Nothobranchius furzeri: one gene and its partners. The protein of the gene in region 1 purifies or fractionates together with the protein of each later gene. This does not show direct contact. Links are inferred from orthologs where the notes say so. Each region holds a gene or a part of one and is shown in the gene's direction. Other genes may lie near its edges.

Region 1 (3,337 bases):
CAGCCTCCTCTCTTGGTGTCCCAATTCAGCCAGACAACAGAGCAGAGCAGCAGCCTCAACAAATCCTCATTCAGTCTCCTCAGGTTATTCAAAGTGGAGCACCTCTTCAGACCATACAAGCCAGTACCGTTGCAAGTGCAGGTGGTCAGGTGTTTGCAGCTCCAACACTCAGCCAAGAGGGGCTTCAAAATCTTCAGATTATGCCAAACACAGGGCCTATCCTCCTGCGCACTGTAGGCCCTAATGGCCAGGTTAGCTGGCAGACCCTTCACATCCAGAGTCCAGCAGGTGCACAGATAACACTAGCCCCAGTGCAGTCTCTGCCCCAGCTCGGGCAGACTCAAGGAGCTACCGGAGCTGGAACGGTACCGGTGCAGATCCCAAATCTTCAGACCATAAATCTCAACTCACTTGGAAGCACAGGGCTGCAGATGCATCCTCTGCAGGGAATCCCCATCAACATCACAGGTGCATCAGGTTAGACCAGCTTGTTTATAAGTTTCTCATTATGTGTCTCAATATGCTTTATAATAACCTCCAGTCAACAGTAGGACCATGCTTTCTATAACTCCTGAGTTATGGAAAACAAATTTGTGTCATTTCTATTTAATTAGCCCACATTTTATCATGACTGTTTACGAACCATTTATTTCCTAAATATGATAAAATTTAGATGCAAAAAGAGAAAAAGTACATGCAAACAACAACAATGTCTCAGGATTAGTATCTTTAAAATGAGGTTTCGATGTTTGGTATCGCTTCACTTTGCATGCAAGTTAAATTCTGGTTAAACCAGTTCTACTATCTGAGTTTTCCCTGAGCCTTAAACTGTAAACAAGCTGTTTGTGTTCGATTTCTTCATCTGATAGTTAAATTACACTGAAGGCAGTTTGGCATAGTTACTGTATTACACAGGGTATCCGCGGGTCCTTAAAAAGTCTTAAATTGACTTTTCCAAATTTAAGGCTTTGAAAATCCTTAAAAATGACAAATAATCCTTAAATACAGTTTCCAAAGGTCTTAAATTACCAAAGACCCAATAAACTAGACTGTTTTATTTCTATGACATTTTTGTGAATTTCTAGTTAGTGTTCAGCATTTTTTGTGTACGATGTTGGTGTAAGCGGAACCGCACATATTCAGTTGGTTGTGAAAGGGAGCTATTTTTAGATGAGCACATTCGCTGGTTAAGCTAGTGGGAGCTTACGCCATGGAGAAGTGCAAGTTTAATGGTAACTGGATGGCTAATCCCACGTTCGTGGCGTGGTTAGGAAATTATAGCAGAAATTACATTTTAAAAAATAGCTTAAATTTGGTCAAAGTGGCCTTAAAAAAGGTCTTAAAAAGTCTTAAATTTGACTCACTTCAACCTGCAGTTACCCTGATTACAGCACAGGACCATTCCCCTCTTCTCTCAACCCTGTTTGTGTTTGTTGCTCCTAAATTGAGCAAATTCCAACAATTGTGAGAAATCAATTATGGAATATCTGATTCACCTTTCAGTGTCAGAGCTGACTTTACACTAGCATTTACACAAGTGTGGAGGGTAAAAAAAAGCGTAAACATTCGTATCATTCAAATTGGTTGAATGGTTTTGTTTACAATGGTACAACAAAACACTATAATCCTCTCCAGTTAGCCAGCTATGTGGAGATGAAGCTGAGTTTTTGGTGTTCAGTCTAAGCATGCACTTCTCTTCCCATGGATGCAAAATGCATTGACCAGTTGTTCAGCCATTCTGGCTAAGCTGCAGACAATTAACGGCAACTTGTTATTGTCATAAAAAATTAAGTAGAAACCTTGCTGAAAAGTGTGGTTGTTTTCTATACCGAGTTTGATAAATAAAATTTCTTCAGACAAAGAAAATCCTCAACACTTTTTCCCACGCTCTTCCTTCATGGGTGTAGGTGAGCAGCCGTTGCTGACTGCTGGAGAAAGTTTGGACAGTAGTGCAGTTATGGAAGATGCAAGCATGAGCCCACCCTCTCAGGGGCGCCGGAACCGCAGAGAAGCCTGCACTTGTCCTTTCTGCAAAGATGGAGAAGCCCGGTGAGTGACTGAAGGTTATGTTATAATGTCATCCTGGTCAGATTTTAATGTAACTCTGAGTTTTTATGTTCTTATGATGAAATGTTATTTGTAATTAGTTTTTCACAAAAACAAAACATGCTTTTATCTTAAAAAAAAACATTTCGTAAGTACATTTGTCAATGCTGGTCAAAAATGTCTATTTTTCTTTCATTACATGAGATTTAGTGACATCTAGTGGTGAGGTAATTCAGGTTTGCTGTTTGAAACCATTTAATTGCTCATGTGTTTTTTTTTTAACCCTCTCAGGCTCAAAATAAGTTTGGATAAAAGGAAGTGTTGTCCAAGTGTTTTGACTGTTATACGTTGTTTATTCATTTTCCACTATGGAAATCACCAAGAGACGAGTGAGCATTGGTGATGATAGAATGAAGAACTAATGTTTTAAGTTCCTGCAATCTTCCATTACCCCAAAATTCCACTACCTCCGCTCCGCCCCCGCCTTCCGCAGCCGCTCCCTTCCGAACTCAATTTTTACTGGTACCCGCTCCGGTGCGGAGACCTGAGGTGCGCAAACGGGCATGCGCGGGATTTTCGAGATCTTGCAATACAGTCCGAGCAATAAACGTGGAACTTAGATCCAAACACCCGACCCGTTGTGTGGGAGCAGCATCGAAATGAACTGTTTAATCTGCCCATCATTTGTGTTGAGAGATCAGCAGTGCTTGGATCAACAAAGTGTGACTACTTTGATTGTAGAAACTGTATTTATGGCTTATTTTTGTGCATTTAAAGTTCAGCCGCCATTGATAGTTGTTAAAAGTTGTTAAACCTGTGCATATGAAACAAAAAACGCCTTTTTTTAATCAATTTATTGTGAAATAACGGAAGCTGTGTTTACTCCTTTTCCTGTTGGGCGGTTGTGGTTTCTGTCCATTGACTGCGGAGGTGCTCCGGCGTCCGGCAAAAATAGAATCGATCCTATTTTTGCCGGATGGCGGAACGGCGGGCGGCGCACTGCGCCGCACGGCCACAGTAGTGGAACAGCTCTGATTGATTACAACGGGATCGATTTTGCTGCGGAGTTCGTGCCGGAGCGCAGCGGAGCGGAGATAGTGGAATTTTGGGGTTAGTGTCCATTCTTACTTCGATACAGAGGGTAATTTGACCTAGAAATTTGGAAGCAAATAATTCTTTCAAACTCATGTTTTGGCAATTGTTTATTTTATTTGTCCAACAGAGACCCAAATAAAAAGAAGCAGCACATTTGTCACATTAGTGGCTGTGGGAAAATTTACGGCAAGACATC
Region 2 (4,181 bases), on another chromosome or scaffold:
AAACCATTTTACAAGTAAATGTGGATTGGAATGGCATATATATATATATATATATATATATATATATATATATATATATATATATATATATATATATATATATATATATATATATATATATATATATATATATATATATATATATATATATATATATATATATATTGAATTCTGATGAGCAAAAATATAATTTCGAATATCTGAGATTATATTTTTTTGTGTGAAAAGCTACAGGTCAGACAGCAGGAAATGATGAAGTTGTTTCACCTGTTGTAGCAAACTGAAGAACCACCTTGCTGGTGCCAAAATAAAAAATAAAGCTGCAAAACTGTCATCTATGGTACGTTCCACAGATCTATCCAAATAAATGTGTTTGTTCTAAGCGGTCTGTCTGTAATGTGTTGATGGGTTCATCTCTTTTGTACCTTTTTCAGTTTTATTAATACTTAAGATTCAGGTTATTGCTGCATCCCAGAAAAGGAAACGATTTGCTCAAGGCTGAAGGCTCTAAATTTTACTTAGTTTTTTTGCTTCAGCTCCCAACAAAAACAAAAACGTAGAGCGAGAAGTGAAATAAAAATTGTACCTATTTGTTTAGTTTTTATTTCATGTTACACAACTATAGATCTACCAAAACAAACTGGTACAGGAGTCTTTTACTTTCAAACTGCTTGAAGTGCTGTATATAAATTGAAATATTTCTGGGTATAGCTGGACCAAATGTTTACGCATCCTAACCACAACTCGGGATGGAAGTCTAAAACATATCTACTTGTAGAAAAGTTCATTCTGATAACTGTATTTCAGTTTTGACTAGTAAATGCTACACCGTAGATGATCGACTCGCTGTTTTTCCAAAACAAAGTAATTTCTGACAGAACTGTGTTTTTGGTGTATTTTATTAGAAGCAATGTAGTAACCATTGACTGTTTTGTGCGTTTTTTACATAAAAAAATATATATTTTAACTTTAATAGGTAGTTGAACGTAATATTACAGTAGTTTAAAGCTGTGGGCGCACTCTACTGTCCCTCAGTGGCGGGGAAAATGCAAAAGCGGATGTGACGTAGATATATTTTCCCGCGTTTTGGTCTCGTGAGTTAGGGTAAGTTCGTTTTGGGTTTTTTGTCACGTGGTCCTTCACGCCGGTCCGCGAGAACTATTAAAACAAACATAACGTTACGACTTGTTTATTGTAGTGATTTTTTAGATTTTTTTACGCCGTCGAGTTGAAACAAAACATGACTGTTGTTGGAACTCAGTAGGTGGTGTTTGTTAAGAAAATCATGAGCGTAAACTAGAGAGGGTGGGGTCACCGGCTCTCCGCCGCGCTCTCCTTTTGAACAAAAGAAGCACACACTTTCAACAGCATCAGGAAGCAGTTCGGATTTTGTTGTATTGTTGCTACGGAGCTTATTTGCGTGTCCAACCCGAATAATATTAGCCGTTGCCTTAAATAAAATAAAAAGTGCAAGTTTCTTGGGTTGATAAAAGTTGCTTGTCAGGTACCCAGAGACGAGAAGTATGCCACCTAAGAAACGTCACTCCGGGATGGTACACAACAAGCAGCCGAAGTCCGGAGCTGACAACGCCTCTCCAGACAAGGACAGTCCGGAATTATCTGAGAAAGAGTAAGAAAAGTAAAGATGTTTGAGTTACAACACAACACCAAGAGTGTCATCAGCTGTTGGGTTTAGTTTTACATTCATGTTTAGCTAGTTCTAGTAGTATTGATAGCTTTTCTGTGGCCATCTTGTTGGCCAAAGTTAACGCAGGCCTTTGTTGGTGCTAATATCTGAGTTTAAAGGGAATTTTTAGCCGTGAACATTATTAAATGGAGTAAACTGAACATAGACTCCTTATATTTGGACCTGTTAGGTTTACAGACAGAGAGAGAGAGAGCTGCTGCTGTTGGCTGTCTTTCATGTTGGGATCTGTGTGTTTTCATCTTCCAGACACAGAGACAAGGATGGAGAGTTTGTGAGTCTGTGTAAGAGCCTTCATGTTACTGGCCTGGTGTGTGACCGTGCCTGGTCCTTGTGGAAAATAGTGCAGGAATCCATGGAGATCGTTAAAGTAAGGATGAGGTTCAACCTAAGTATTCTCCACTGTCCCTTCTCTGGACATGTCCTCTGACTTTATCTCCCAAACATCTAACAAGAGCTGACCCTCTGATGGACTCATTCTTGATCACACCTTTTTTCTACACTCCATTACTTTGGACTGATGTGTTTAAAATCTTCCTCCTTTTCTCCAAACCCTCTGATCTGGGTCCCTCTCATTCATACACGTATTTTGTGAATGTTTATAGTGATACAGATAAATTTTATCCTGTTAGTTACATTGATTGTAACTGTGTATTTTTGTTTTGTTTTTTTAAGGATCGTCAGCTAAAGCTTTGGGGTGCTTGTCTGTTTGTGACTGTAACAGACATGGATGTTGGCTGTTTCACCTTGACTCAGATCCTAAAAGCTATCAGTATGAAGTAAGAACTGAGTGTCAGCTGAGTTTTCCTTGTGGTGCACTCTTCTAAAAGCATAACACATCTTTTTTGTGGTGTTTTGAATTATCGTTAGAATAAAGATGCTTGTCTAAAATTATACCATTATTATTTTTAATCATGATCCCCTCTCCCCTTTTTAGTTGCACTGACGTGGGTGCTCCCATGGCGGCTTTTCTCTGCTTCTATAGCAGCACTGTCTGTCCATGTTTTCCTCATGTTTCTTATCAATCAAGTAGAAGATTCAGTTTGGTTATTTAGTATCTTACATTATTTTTCCTTCTAATGTCTGAATACTGACAAGATAAAAAATGTGTTTTTAATGATTTTAGTAAATGGTTATTTGACTATTAGTAATAAATGCCCTTATTCTTAACGTTCTTTCTCCTTTTGACTCAAGTTTTAAACTCTTCATGGAACTGGTGAGGCAGATGGATTTGAACTTGGATACGATAAGCACCAAAGTGAACTCTGTTCTTACACGACTGGAGAAGAAATATGATGTGCTGTTAGCGCTCTACCAGAGGTTTGAGAAGTGAGTGAACACGGACACTTTTCATTCCGTCGGAGTGGTAACTGGCAAAGATTTAAACACGACATAACATTTTCTTCTTCTTTTTTGTAAGAACCTGTAAGAAGATCTTTACCTCGACCACGTATGGCAAGTAAGTTGAGTTTAAGCTCTATTTGTCACACATTTTATGTGTTTTGTTTCGTTAATGTTGGATTTTTTATATCACAAACTGTTTTCTTGTATAGTTAATATTTTATTGTCTCCTTTTAAAGGGAGAGAGAGACGATGCAGACATGCTGGACAGTGTTTCTTTTGGCCAAAGGTAATTGTCCTTTTTTAACACGCTAACAAGTGAACACATTAGGGCTGAGTACATAAACTGAATACATTGGGTTGGCACTGATATAGAAAATAAACATCCTTGTTAATGAGCCACACAGTTTCATACCATTGGCTGCTGCAGGTCATGTGACTGGGGGTGGGCTGCTCTCTTATTCACACACAGTATATTTACAACACTTCTCTGAGTTTGCGGACAATAATAACATGGAAAAAGTGGAAGTTTTGCTCACATGTTGTGACTGTAAACATCCGAGCTAAACGTAACATCTGGGATCACATTTGTGTCGTATGGAAAAATCAGCAATTTCATAATTCATGGCGCCATTTTGCAAGCCAGTGCATGTCATTGACTGCCCATAAATAAATAAATAAATAAATAAAATAAAAGTAGACCATGTTTGCAGTGTAATAGTTTTGACTTGCTTTGCCTCTTGTTTAAAAAGCATGTTCATTTCTCCATTTCTTTGGGTTTATCTTTCATTTTGGGTTTTGAGAGTAGATGTTTCATATTTACCAAAGAATAAATCAAAGTTTACATTTTATCTTCATACTGTTTACTTTTGTGTAGCACAAATAAATACCACTGTTTTTAAATACAAATATCCAAAATAGGTGTTCTCTTGCTTTAGGTGAAGGATAGGCGTTTGTTAAATTATAGCTTACTGTTTACACTGAACGTTTACTGCATTTTTTTTTCATAAACAGAAAATTTAAGTACTTTTTCCTCTTACAATAGACCTAAAATATAGCTACATGAACAAAAGAATCATTAAAGTTCAGGGGTCTCATTTATCAAACGTTGCGTAGAATCTTTACTAAAACTGTA
Region 3 (4,081 bases), on another chromosome or scaffold:
ATAAAATCAAACTGTTTTTTCTTGTCAGATAAAGAGCAAAACATAATGGGAGGATACATCTCTTACGGTAATCTATTCTGAATGTGAAGTCAACTGCCTGTGGCAGCGTTCAACCTTTGTCACATTAGATCATGAGAGGAAACCGTGCAAGGCTCCAGACAGAAACAAGAGGAGTGCTTCTGTTTCTTCCTCCCTGCAGACTTCTATGACCTTGATGTGTTTGCAGGCACCCAGAAGCATTGTGGCAGAGGAAACACCACCCAAATAATCAATGGATGGGGAAATGCAATTAAGGAAAGTGTTTACTCTCTCTCTCTCTCTCTCTCTCTCTCTCTCTCTCTCTCTCTCTCTCTCTCTCTGTGAAAGCTAAGCAGTGAGAAAGACAAAAGAAAGCATGCGTGTGATCGTGTTACAAGTCTATGCAAACTATTACAACACACCAAGGGGAATTGTTATCTTTACATAAAAATAAATTATATGCTTGTAAGATTATCATTTTTATTTTATAGCTTTATCTTTGTGTTGATTTTTGACAGATATATAAACGATCTCCCATTACCTAAATGTGTTTTTGCAGCGGTGTAATTCAGTTTTCTTTTCTTTTCACTGTTGCATCTGTAAGTGGCGTATGGCCTTGATGTCACTGACTGTACCTGCCAGACTCAAGGTGTTTTGGCCAAACAGGTTCAATATTAATAAACGCTTATTACATAATCCACCAGTTTAAGGTTTGTTGACTGTTTTATCTATCTATAAATCCATTTATCCACACGTGTGTCATTTATAAATATTATTTTAAATAAACTTAGTTTGATTACGTTTGGACACTTGTATTAATTATTTTTGTCCCGTTAGGATTAACACTAAACTGCAGATGTGTTATTAGACTCGGTGACGTCAGCATTGCCAGTAACTCAGATGACTTCCAGGCTGGCTCTTCTTTTCAAACGCCTTTCCTCCCTCCGTAACAGCCGAACATGCTGTTCTTTGAACGGAAAACCCCGAGGAGGGAGGACTAAGAGGAACAGCCCAGTTGCGACAGCAGTAAACATAGCACTCAACCAAACATGCTGTTACGCCGCGCATCTTTTCGTCACACATCTGCTCTGATTTGGTTAACAGAAATTTCTATATTGCTATTTGCCACTTGGAATGTCAATCAACAACAGAAGCGCGTTTGATTGGCTGAAAAGACTTGCAGAGCGGCTGATGGGTTGGGCTACTGGCTCTAGGGTTGAAGAAGTGTTTCTCGTGTTGTTAAGGGAAGAGTAAAGGTTGGCATCTTTTGTGAGTGTTTTCTCTCGTTTATGTGGGTTTACCGTTTTAGAAGAAATTAAGTGTTGCCTTCAGTGTACTTTTAGTTAACAGTTTTCGGGTTTTTGTCGGAGAATCTTTCCAAAGACGTGACAACGACTCGGGTAAGCGACTGCATTCAAACTAACTTACTCCATCTTTATTTGTGAATGTTTTTTTTATGTAAACCCGTTATCAGTTTATATTTACTAATGGCCATGATATAAAAGGCTTGGCCAGCTGAACGCTGCTAAACGCCTATTTGTGCTGGTCATAAGTTATTCTGTGTGCAGAAACATTGTGTTCCGCTATGGCATATAGCAAAGTTATTATTGCCTTACTGCTTTTAATTAATTATTTCCGATATAAAATATTACAGCTAAGACGTTCAGTCTTGAATAGTTGTTTTTTTTTCTTTTGTTGTTGTTGTTTACTTTCAATAATGTGTTTTGGCTCAATTTATCAGTAATTTCGATCTGTTGGTAAAACAAAACAAAAAAAAATTAAAAAAACAGTAAAAGAGAGAAAGAGCATCTTCCAGGATATGAATATGACCCCATAAAATTCCAGGCCAGTGTTTGTTATAAGCCGTCGTTGTTGTCACGCTCATCTTCACCCCATCATGTGCAGAGCTGCATAACAGGATCAGATCCATGATCACTTTCAAAATTAAAAGAAAAGAAAAGTGTAGTATTGACTAATGACACTTACTATTTTAGTTTGATGATGTTACAACTGAAAAAGAAAACCCATTATGATCATCATTATTATTGTGTCCAATAACCCGCAAGTGTCCTGCCTGTTAACTGTCAGTAAAATGACAAACTTGGCATGATTGCTTCTTTTTTTTTTTTTGTGGAGAGCTCTACTTCCTGGAATGTGGCTTGTCTGTTTTAAGGAATCTCATTGTGCATTACCGTAAGTGGTAAATGCTCACTGACAAAACACACCTAACAAGATTAGAATTTTTTTTTTATGAGTCATGTTGAATATTGAAGTCCTACTCTGCCCGTCTGGAGTGTGAAAATACTCATATGATGGGATACTGACAAAATTAGGCCAAATCATTGTCTGTGTGTAGCTTTGTGTAACATGAGCATCTTCAAAAGGTTCCTATCATGTATCATGTGAAATGTGTGTGACCTCAGCAAAAGGTCTTTGTAAAATATCCACCAAACAAAGGGCACAGTCCTGGGACTCACCAGTGCATCAGTTTACAGAAAATTTTGGCTGTTTTTACCTTCTTAGCTAAACAAAAGAAGTAAATAATCAAGCACTACTGTGTCTCCTCTGTGACTGTAGACACTGAATAATTGATTATACAGCCAGGACCCTCCCCAAACATAATTAAATCATCAAAAACATGAGAGAGATAACTCCAGTAGCATTTATTCTTTTTGGATAGCAGGTAAGAAGGTAGGGCGTTTGTTCAAAATTTTCTAAATAAAGCAGTACCATTGATTTGACCATGGGCAATCCTCTTGTGATGTCACGTTTGTTGGGGTTTCACTTCCTCAGCAATTCTCACCATGTGTTAGCATCATTTTCATATACCAGTGAAAGAGGAGCATGTGTGATGTGAACTTATATAAGGTGACACAAATGCTTAAAAAACACCTTTTTAGCTCAGTTCTTATTTTATTACAGCGTATTAACTACTGTATCAAAACATGTTTGAATTTCAGCGTATTAAAGGATAAAATGAAAGCTTATGAAACACTGTTTTTCCATTGACCTTTAAATTTGGCAGAAACAGGTGATGCTGATATCCATCCATCCATCCATTGTCTGAACCCGCTTTGTCCACATATGGTCTCGGGGGGGGGGGGGGGGGGGGGGGGGGGGGGGGGGGGGTGTCAATGAGCAATCAGGCGGGGTACACCCTGGACAGAGAGCCAGTCCATCGCAGGGTGATGCTGATATCGCTGACCTTATTCTTTTTAGCTTTTACAAAGGAGTCACGCCTAAATGTAGAATAGCCTCCCTTCATATTCCAAGTCACGTGGCCTAATGTACACAGATTTACGATGAAACTATTAATCGTGTGTGCTGTCAGATAAGACCTACATAATGCTGATGTTTTGGGTGTTTTGAATGGAATAAATTATTAAATGTTTCTGTTTCTTTTAAATATGCTGAATCATGAAAGATTTTGACAGAATATTAAGTCCCAAGTTTTATCGTTTACAATTTTATCAACACTTACGGCTGTTTTATTTAGTGGATCGCATCATGAAACCAAACAGAAGGGCTGTTACACTAGCTCTGCTTTAGCTTGTGTATACAAATACTGCCAAGCTCATTGTACAAGTTAAGATTGTGTGCTTCACCAGAGTTTAGGTGATACCGTAACATTATCCTTGTAATGTAAGCATTAAACAAAAGCTTTGCTTTGGTATTTAATTTCCATGACAGGGAAGACGGCTCTGCTGGATTCACTGAATACCTTTTTTGTCGGTGTGCAGAAGACAGTAATCCTCCAGGGACCCATGCAACCTCATTTTGGTCAGATAAAAGCCTTGTGTAACAAGGTAAATGAAAGATCTGATCTGAAGTTGCATTATAATTCTAAGAAATGCAATGTGAAGTTAATCATTAAAGACAGGAATGGTTCTGTAGTTTCTGATCCATGTGCTCTGTCGCTGACAGCTGAGGAAAGGAAGTGTGTTTTTTTCTTCATTGTTTCTAGTAAGCCTTTATACAAAAAACATTGGTTGAGATTATTAACTTCTCTCTACTTCGAGAGCTGACAGCTGTTCAGGACGTCCTGTATTTCTTGGCGGAAGTC
Region 4 (4,039 bases), on another chromosome or scaffold:
TTGTGCTCTTGGTACAGACATTATTCCTCTTTTCTGAGTGATAAAAACCCACAGAGGACCACCTTCTTCGTTGAAATGCATTTATGGCTACCCACTATCACTGTCTGAGCTCAGCTCTACTCCACACTCAGTCGTACATCTGGCACTTGACTCTTTGACATTCAGTGCATGAAGGAGGGGGTGTTTATGCATATGAGAGTGTGTGCATGTGCTTGACTATAGCTGTAATTTAAAGGCTGAACCAAGCAATAAACTAAATTGCCACCTTGAGGAGTAGCAGCACTCATCTGAAGGCCTAACAAGCCGAGGCAAGAAAGTGTGCAAACTCATGCATGCGTGCAGCTACTTCTATTACCTTCTGTCTTACAGCAGCTCCAGTGTTATTCAGTCGTGTGAAGGTAGAACAACCCAGAGAGCATTACTGGAAAGTTCTGTGTTAGAGATCTCAAGCCCCAGGTGTTTACACAACAAACACACACTGGACATATTTTACACTACACCTTAACCTTTAGACACTTGAGCATATGACGATTTCTAAAAACATAACATATGAGCAAAAAATGAATGTATTCTCCTGGTAAATCAGAAAAAAATGTTAGTGTTGAGTGGGAAGAAACAAAAATGTGATATTACAGTTTGAACTGTGTTACATAAAGTTAACTGAGATAAAGTCATTTAAATAAACATCAAAGCTTCTTTGTTCCTCTGAAGAAAAAAACATACATTTTTAAGTGCACTAGTGTGGACAAAAAATAAATAAACTGGTTGGTGTTACATAACTGAATCAAGTGCTGCGTATGACCGCTTTTATAGACCGCAGCAGTTTGCTAGCATGAGGAGAGGCAGTGATTGTGCAACATCAGCACGGCCCCTTTGGCCAGCTGCTGTGACAGAGCTGCTACAGGTCTGCAGCAGTCTGAAGCCTGAATAGAGTCTGAGCAGCAACTCCTGCATTTGCATCTGATGCAGACTTCAAGCAGATTTCAGCCGGCGGACTACACACCGCGGAGGGTTCTGAACTTCACAAAACTTTGCGCTTCGAGGATTAGAACAGTCAATAAAACACACCACTAGCGTTACTCCTTTATTTTTTAACGTTTTATTCATAGTTTTAAATCGTATTTTAATTCAGGTTGGAGTTATTTAAATAACATTTGCTTGAGTAGGTGCAGACGGACTAGTTGGTCTTGCGGAGCAGCACTAAATCCACAGCACCAAAGAATACCGGTGCACAATCCGCCGTTTACCTCCTCGAGCCAGGGTAAACGAGTTCGCTAAAACTGAGAAGTTTGGCCCTGGGATGCTCCTGTGTAGCTCTAGATAAAAAACAATAACTTTTTAGCGAAGACTTGCTCTCTTCGTCACTGCGTAGACCGCCACAAAGGTAGTCGTTTTCGTATAACGTCCAGAAGAAAAAAAACCCAGCAGACTTCTCGAGACAGGACGGACTTGACTGAACTCAAGATGTCAATTTTGCCTTTCACTCCCCCCATCGTCAAAAGACTTTTGGGCTGGAAGAAGGGAGAGCAGAACGGCCAGGAGGAGAAGTGGTGCGAAAAGGCGGTGAAAAGTCTAGTGAAGAAGCTGAAGAAGACGGGACAGCTGGATGAACTGGAGAAAGCCATCACCACGCAGAATATCAACACAAAATGCATCACCATACCGAGGTAAGGAGAGCTAGCAGGTTGGTTTGATGCTGACCGTAAAGTTAGCATCTCACGCGCTGTTTTATCCGTTTATTACAGCTTTATAACAAATTATACCAATCTGCCACTGCTTTTACTGTCTATTGCACGTTAAAGGCACCACTTCTTGTGTGAGAAGCAAATATTTCCAGATATTTTCTCGCGTTAATATTTCAAACTCAGTTATTTAGCGTTTATTAAACATCAAAGTTTTAGCTAAGGAAACAGTTCACCAGCTAATCTGTAAATTACGGCTCAAATGTATTATTGTCTGTTATCTATGTGTCATCATATTGCTATTTTGCACTTCAAGTGAATTGAAACAACTCCTAGCAGCTTGGTATGACCCAGATTATGTTGTCAAAAACACGTTTTAAGCATAACGAGCCAATAGCACACATGCAATGTGCACTGGTAGTTATATAACTTGGCCTTAATCTGGAACGTTTTCTAGCGTTGTTAGTGCGTAGGCGAGTCTAGATGGGCTCTCTATCTTCTCTCAATGCCTCTATACAGACATATATCAGCATTTTTATTTAATACAAGTAAATCCACTGCAGGTTACTATGTGTAACAGGTGCTTTCATAGCGTGGGCAGAATTGGAGGCAATGCAACAGCAAACACGAGAAAATATGTAAAAAAAAAACGCAAATAAAGGTGTTTATCATTTGACAAAATATATTAGAGACAAAAATGCTCTCATGGGATGAAAAGTTAACATTTAACACTCTAAATTAATTAATTCAAACGATCTCCTTGGAACAGTAAATAATTCAGCTGTGTTTGGTTTTCAGTGGTCAGATGAATAAATTATGAATAGTGGTTTGGCTTATTGATTTCATTTTTTTTCTCTGCAAGGAGGAGGGAAACATAGCTGTCAGCTGGATTAATAAATGCCATTTTTAGCTCTGACAATTCTAAAGGCTGTATTATTTAACCATCAGTGTGTGCACTTTGGGATGAAACAGTGCTTCACGATTACTGATGGCAACTTTTTCATTAGGTAACAAGTTGGTATTCACTGAACCAAGCAGGAGTAATGTGCAAACGGCCAAGAAGCAAACCGCTAATGAAAAATGCTTAAAAATTTTAAAAGATTTTACCATCTTAAGGTGGCAACGTGTAGTTTCCTGGTGCCAGGGGGCAGTACATACATTTCAGGGTAGTTTTACACCATATTGCTGTGACTGTCGCTAGTTAAAAAAAAAAAACATTACCGTAAATGTTGTTACCTGTGGAACAGAAAGCATGCAACCTTGGCGTGTCTCCTCAAACTTTGATTGTTCTTCAGGTATTTCCATAGAGAGAATGCAATGCAGATGCTAATTTTCTGGTGCTGTACTTTCCAGAGCTGCTCAGGGGTCCTGCGCTTGCCAATGATGTAGTGGTGGGCAGTATAAACTATATAAGGTAGAAACGATATAAAATTGGGTAATGATAGAGTTTTTGGCTCTATCATGGTAACACATGGTGTCAATAAATGTGCACTCTCCCTGACATTGGGACAACAGAATGGCAGTGACTGCAAGTATGGAGAGGGCAGAGGAGGAGGAGCATTCTACTTTTTGGACGTCTTTATTCTGCTGCAATATATTTGCCAAATGTGGATTTTTAAAAGCATGTCATTTTGACATATATTAACAGAGGAAAAAATACATCGCAATAAATATTGTTATTGCACATGCTTCAGATTATATCAGAATATATATTTTAGGCCATATTGCCCAGCCCTACGTCATCATACTACGAAAATACCGTTCAGCCAAATATATATTGCATCTCTTTTTCAATTCTGTTCTCTCACATAGGTTTTGGAAAAAGTTTAGCAGTTTTGTTATTAAATTATTGTTTCTCACTGCCAAGATATTTTTGAATGTGGTAACGTAACTTCTGTAGGTTGTACGCTTAGCCAATCATCTAGTGTGATATCATCGACAGGCACAAGCTTGCGAGCCCTCCAGAAGGAAACTTGGCATCTAATATGGCGTCCTCCAAAGATTTTTGACCTGCACACAATGCAGTTTACACTCAATTTTTATGGTTATATGGTACAATGCTGCCAATATTTTTCAACAACTGGACATCATTTAATTTATTTTCAACATTGTTTTGATGGATATTTACAGAGATTAATGGTATAAACTACACATTGCCTCTTTAAAGTAACTGATAATTGTATTTATTGTTGTTTGTAGCATCCTTTCTTTATATTTGTTAATCTGAGGGAGTTATTAATCTAGTTTTGACTTTTGTTCCAAGCAGTCACTTGATTTATTGCCAGCAAATTGGACACATTATACATTAGTCAAAATGATTATGAACTGTATCTGTAAATCAAAGTATTCTAAACATC
Region 5 (3,545 bases), about 1.4 Mb from region 1:
CAGCAAATGTACTGATTACCTAATTCGCTGCCAGTCGTTTCCTGATCAGTAAAGCCCTTCGCTGCCAGCGTTTCTCACCGTTTTTACTGTTTTTTAAGAGTCACAAAACGTTGCGCCCTAGGATGATGTCGACGCCAAAACAACCAAAACAAAGCGGAGACTCACCTCTTATGTCGGGAAGAATCTGCGCGTTTTGAGCTTTATCCGCTCTTTGTCCGTTCTTTCATAATCCGTTGTTGAACAGAAGCTTTTCCGGTTCGCGCCTCACTTTTTTTAAAGCAGCGGCCCAAAACGATCTAACACATGGATTTTCTGCTTCCTGATCACGTGACGTGTGACGTATGCGGATGAAGATCGGCTTTAGAGCTGAGGTATTTGTTCTCACTGTGCGGGGGCTCGTTCCGATGCCCACACAGTTAAAAAAAATGCAAATGACGGCTTTAGTCGTCATTGGCAGTGAATGAGTTAAACAAGTGTTCTAGACCTTTAAATGATTGTTTCATCATTTTCTTTCTTTTCTCTGGTTTTCTCAAGCTATTTAGTCTATTAACTGCTTCCTGTTTGCTACTATGAGCAAATATGGTCTTTTAAAACTTGAATCAAATATACTGCTGCAGTAGTTTCTCAGTTATGCAAAGGCAAGCTGACTGTTAAATTTCATTTTTTTTCTACCAGAAGCATAACAGTTAGAAGAAAGCAGCTTGTTCATCAGAATCTTCTCGTTAAGACTCTTCAGAAGCTACCCTCCAATGCATTGACCTTATGGGTGGAGTTGGTGAACAAAATATTTACATTTAGATTTATGAGCAAAAGTGCTGCACATTAATGTTACAATCTACTATAATTGGTTTGTTTATCTGTGTGTGTGTGTGTGTGTGTGTGTGTGTGTGTGTGTGTGTGTGTGTGTGTGTGTGTGTGTGTGTGTGTGTGTGTGTGTGTGTGTGTGTGTGTGTGTGTGTGTGTGTGTGTGTGTGTGTGTGTGTGTGTGTGTGTGTGTGTGTGACTCAGCCCACGTTCACTCCTATCTCGCTGCTTCATGAGTTTACAGCCGAGGCTTTGAAAATGTGCCCAGTGTGGGTTTTTAATTTACCAATGATTGACATCTCAGAGCACTCCGAGTTTAACCGATTTCTCCAAACATGCTGTGTCACTACTGCAGGCTTGTTGCTCAATAAGTGGTAGGCCCACTTTTTTTGTTTGGATTAATTTGCACAAGGTGTGCTTTCATCGAATACACAAGAGTTACACAACCACGTAAAGCTGCAGTAAAAGCAGGTTTGAATGGAAGTGGGGGATAATTAATGATTTCCACCTTTTAAGAAACGGTTAGACGTCACTGAATGGCACGAAATCTTTCCTAATTCTCACCAGACTCTGTGCAAATTCAACTTTCAGTGTAAACTTAGCCAAAACTACATTTAAAGTAGTGAAGTTAAATTAACAGCCTGAAAGACTATAATGTTGTGAGTGCCACAAAAATATACTTCAAACAAACTACGCTTCTAAACTCGATGCTCTGAATATTTCTAGACAAAAAGAGCACACGCTTTTTGCAAATGAAATCAAACCCGCCCTCTTTGTTCAGTATTGTTAAATGTTTGGTGTTAAATTACCTGCAGCAACAGAAGGGAAGGGGAAAAACTGTAGATAGGGATCATTTTTCAGTGAGTCGTGTAAATTAAATCACAAAGCTATCATCACGGTAAGGGAACTAATACACAACTGCTAAAAATGTTACAGGACCATTTATCTTAAGTTATTACCTCTGCATCTGTCTTCGTGAGGCTCGGTTAAAAGCTGTCTAAGAATTCCCTTCATGTCTCTGTTCTGGGTTCAGCCTTTAAACGCTCGGAAATCTGGTTTCACATCATGAAAAAAACTGCTTTAGCCTGTTTGTGATGCAGTTAGATATTAGGAACTGTTCAGGGAGTTTAACATACAGTGTCATTCAGCTGGAATAAAAATTTCTGTGCTTCAGTAATATTTGTTAGGTCCAGATAGAAGGTCATCATGTGGACGTTAGCCGTTCTATCTAATTCATAGATCGCCGTCTAAATATTTTAGCTCTTAGGAAACTGAGCCACTGCACAAGCAGCTGAAAGGCTCCAAAAGAGAAGCATTATGCAGCTACTTAAAACAGACGTCAGTTTACAATGGTAAAGGTAAAATAGGAAGGTTGTGGATTTAGGAGTTAAAGCAGAAATCTGGAGTTTTCCCCTTTCAGGATTTAATAATTAAGTTTTAGAAATCCATAAAAGTGATATTCTTACTTTGTACGCTGATATAATGTAGACAGTAAGTCATTTTTTTAGTTTGCTAAGTCTAAACACCCCCCCCCCCCACCACCACCACCCCACCACCCCCACAAACACACACACACACACACACACACACAGAGCCCCATGCAGTTTGAATTGAGCGCCGCTCATCTTTAGCCAATAGCATCACAAATCCACTTTTGTCACCAAGCATGCTTGAGTGTTTGAGGACGTATAGACAATGCAGAGTTGGCGGCATTTCTTTTGGACAAGTAAGTATTTAAAATATATGTGAATAAGCTGGATAACATGAAAACAGGGAGTTAAACATACAGTATCATTCAGCTGGAATAAAAATTGCAAACAGTGTTAGACTCAGGCTGAAATGTTTCATCTAACACCGTTGTGGTGGGGAATAAAAAGTTTAAAGTTCCAAAGACAAAAGGCCATTGATTCATTTACTGCTTTTGTTATGCAACTCTTTACCAGCGTAGAAATAAACATTCTTCTATTTTCACCAAAGAAAAAAGGTTCAATTTAAAGCTTTGCCAAAGCTTTTTTTAAATTACTTTTTTTTCATATCTCCAGAGTTAAATGTAATTGCAATGTAAAACGATGTTTTATCTGTGGGCCGGCTAGAGATGCGTGTTCACGACTAAGTGTTGTTGCTTCTAACCAAAATCACGGAAGTATCTGTGAGGGGCTAAAGGTGCAATACGTTTTTCTGCCTCGGTGCCCTCTGACAAAAATCTTCGGATTTCTGCTTTAATGTAAACAATAAAGTTATAAACAAATTGTCTATAGCTCAGTTTGAAACACCACAACGGTGTTAGATGAAACATTTCAGCCTGAGTCTAACACTGTTTATTTGTGTATTTTTTGTTTTTCCGTGGTGCTCTAATGTACATTTCTGTTTCCTTTCCCAGCCATTCGTTTTGGCCGCATGCCCCAGGCGGAGAAGGACAAACTGCTGGCCGAGTTCTCATCCGACATGGAGCATTTGCACCCGGAGGCAGCGGATCTGAGGGCTCTGGCCCGCCATCTCTATGAAGCCTATCTAAAACATTTCCCCCTCACCAAGGCCAAGGCCAGAGCCATCCTCTCTGGGAAGACTGGAGAAAAAGTGGTAAGAAGATCTGCCCAAGTTCCACTTAAATAATGTTGATTTCTGGGAAAATTTGGCATAGGAATACAGAAAGCAGGGATTAGTCAGCGATTCAGCTGAAAGCTGTTGTTGTGTCCCCACCAGTTAAGCCTGTGTTTGAAATCAGTTATCTTGTGTTTAAT

Evidence for each region.
Region 2: the proteins of sp1 (region 1) and rb1 purify together in Homo sapiens (affinity purification with western blotting; 3 studies listed by BioGRID). This does not show direct contact. The link is inferred for Nothobranchius furzeri from reciprocal best matches to the Homo sapiens genes SP1 and RB1.
Region 3: the proteins of sp1 (region 1) and stat3 purify together in Homo sapiens (affinity purification with western blotting; 4 studies listed by BioGRID and IntAct, with this or other methods). This does not show direct contact. The link is inferred for Nothobranchius furzeri from reciprocal best matches to the Homo sapiens genes SP1 and STAT3.
Region 4: the proteins of sp1 (region 1) and smad3a purify together in Homo sapiens (affinity purification with western blotting; 7 studies listed by BioGRID, with this or other methods). This does not show direct contact. The link is inferred for Nothobranchius furzeri from reciprocal best matches to the Homo sapiens genes SP1 and SMAD3.
Region 5: the proteins of sp1 (region 1) and pparg purify together in Homo sapiens (affinity purification with western blotting; 3 studies listed by BioGRID). This does not show direct contact. The link is inferred for Nothobranchius furzeri from reciprocal best matches to the Homo sapiens genes SP1 and PPARG.

Annotation. Positions count from the first base shown.
Region 1 is NC_091743.1:62,039,785-62,043,121, forward strand, and holds part of sp1 (transcription factor Sp1), read left to right. Parts: coding exon 1-477; intron 478-1,907; coding exon 1,908-2,049; intron 2,050-3,268; coding exon 3,269-3,337. UniProt on the Homo sapiens protein: Transcription factor that can activate or repress transcription in response to physiological and pathological stimuli.
Region 2 is NC_091750.1:48,282,541-48,286,721, reverse strand, and holds the start of rb1 (retinoblastoma-associated protein), read left to right. Parts: upstream 1-1,374; 5' UTR 1,375-1,523; coding exon 1,524-1,630; intron 1,631-1,954; coding exon 1,955-2,075; intron 2,076-2,380; coding exon 2,381-2,484; intron 2,485-2,899; coding exon 2,900-3,034; intron 3,035-3,125; coding exon 3,126-3,164; intron 3,165-3,285; coding exon 3,286-3,335; intron 3,336-4,181. UniProt on the Homo sapiens protein: Tumor suppressor that is a key regulator of the G1/S transition of the cell cycle. The hypophosphorylated form binds transcription regulators of the E2F family, preventing transcription of E2F-responsive genes.
Region 3 is NC_091745.1:6,845,728-6,849,808, reverse strand, and holds the start of stat3 (signal transducer and activator of transcription 3), read left to right. Parts: upstream 1-1,277; 5' UTR 1,278-1,418; intron 1,419-3,708; 5' UTR 3,709-3,824; intron 3,825-4,081. UniProt on the Homo sapiens protein: Signal transducer and transcription activator that mediates cellular responses to interleukins, KITLG/SCF, LEP and other growth factors. Once activated, recruits coactivators, such as NCOA1 or MED1, to the promoter region of the target gene.
Region 4 is NC_091749.1:43,502,241-43,506,279, forward strand, and holds the start of smad3a (mothers against decapentaplegic homolog 3a), read left to right. Parts: upstream 1-1,238; 5' UTR 1,239-1,464; coding exon 1,465-1,667; intron 1,668-4,039. UniProt on the Homo sapiens protein: Receptor-regulated SMAD (R-SMAD) that is an intracellular signal transducer and transcriptional modulator activated by TGF-beta (transforming growth factor) and activin type 1 receptor kinases.
Region 5 is NC_091743.1:63,452,099-63,455,643, forward strand, and holds part of pparg (peroxisome proliferator-activated receptor gamma), read left to right. Parts: intron 1-3,184; coding exon 3,185-3,384; intron 3,385-3,545. UniProt on the Homo sapiens protein: Nuclear receptor that binds peroxisome proliferators such as hypolipidemic drugs and fatty acids.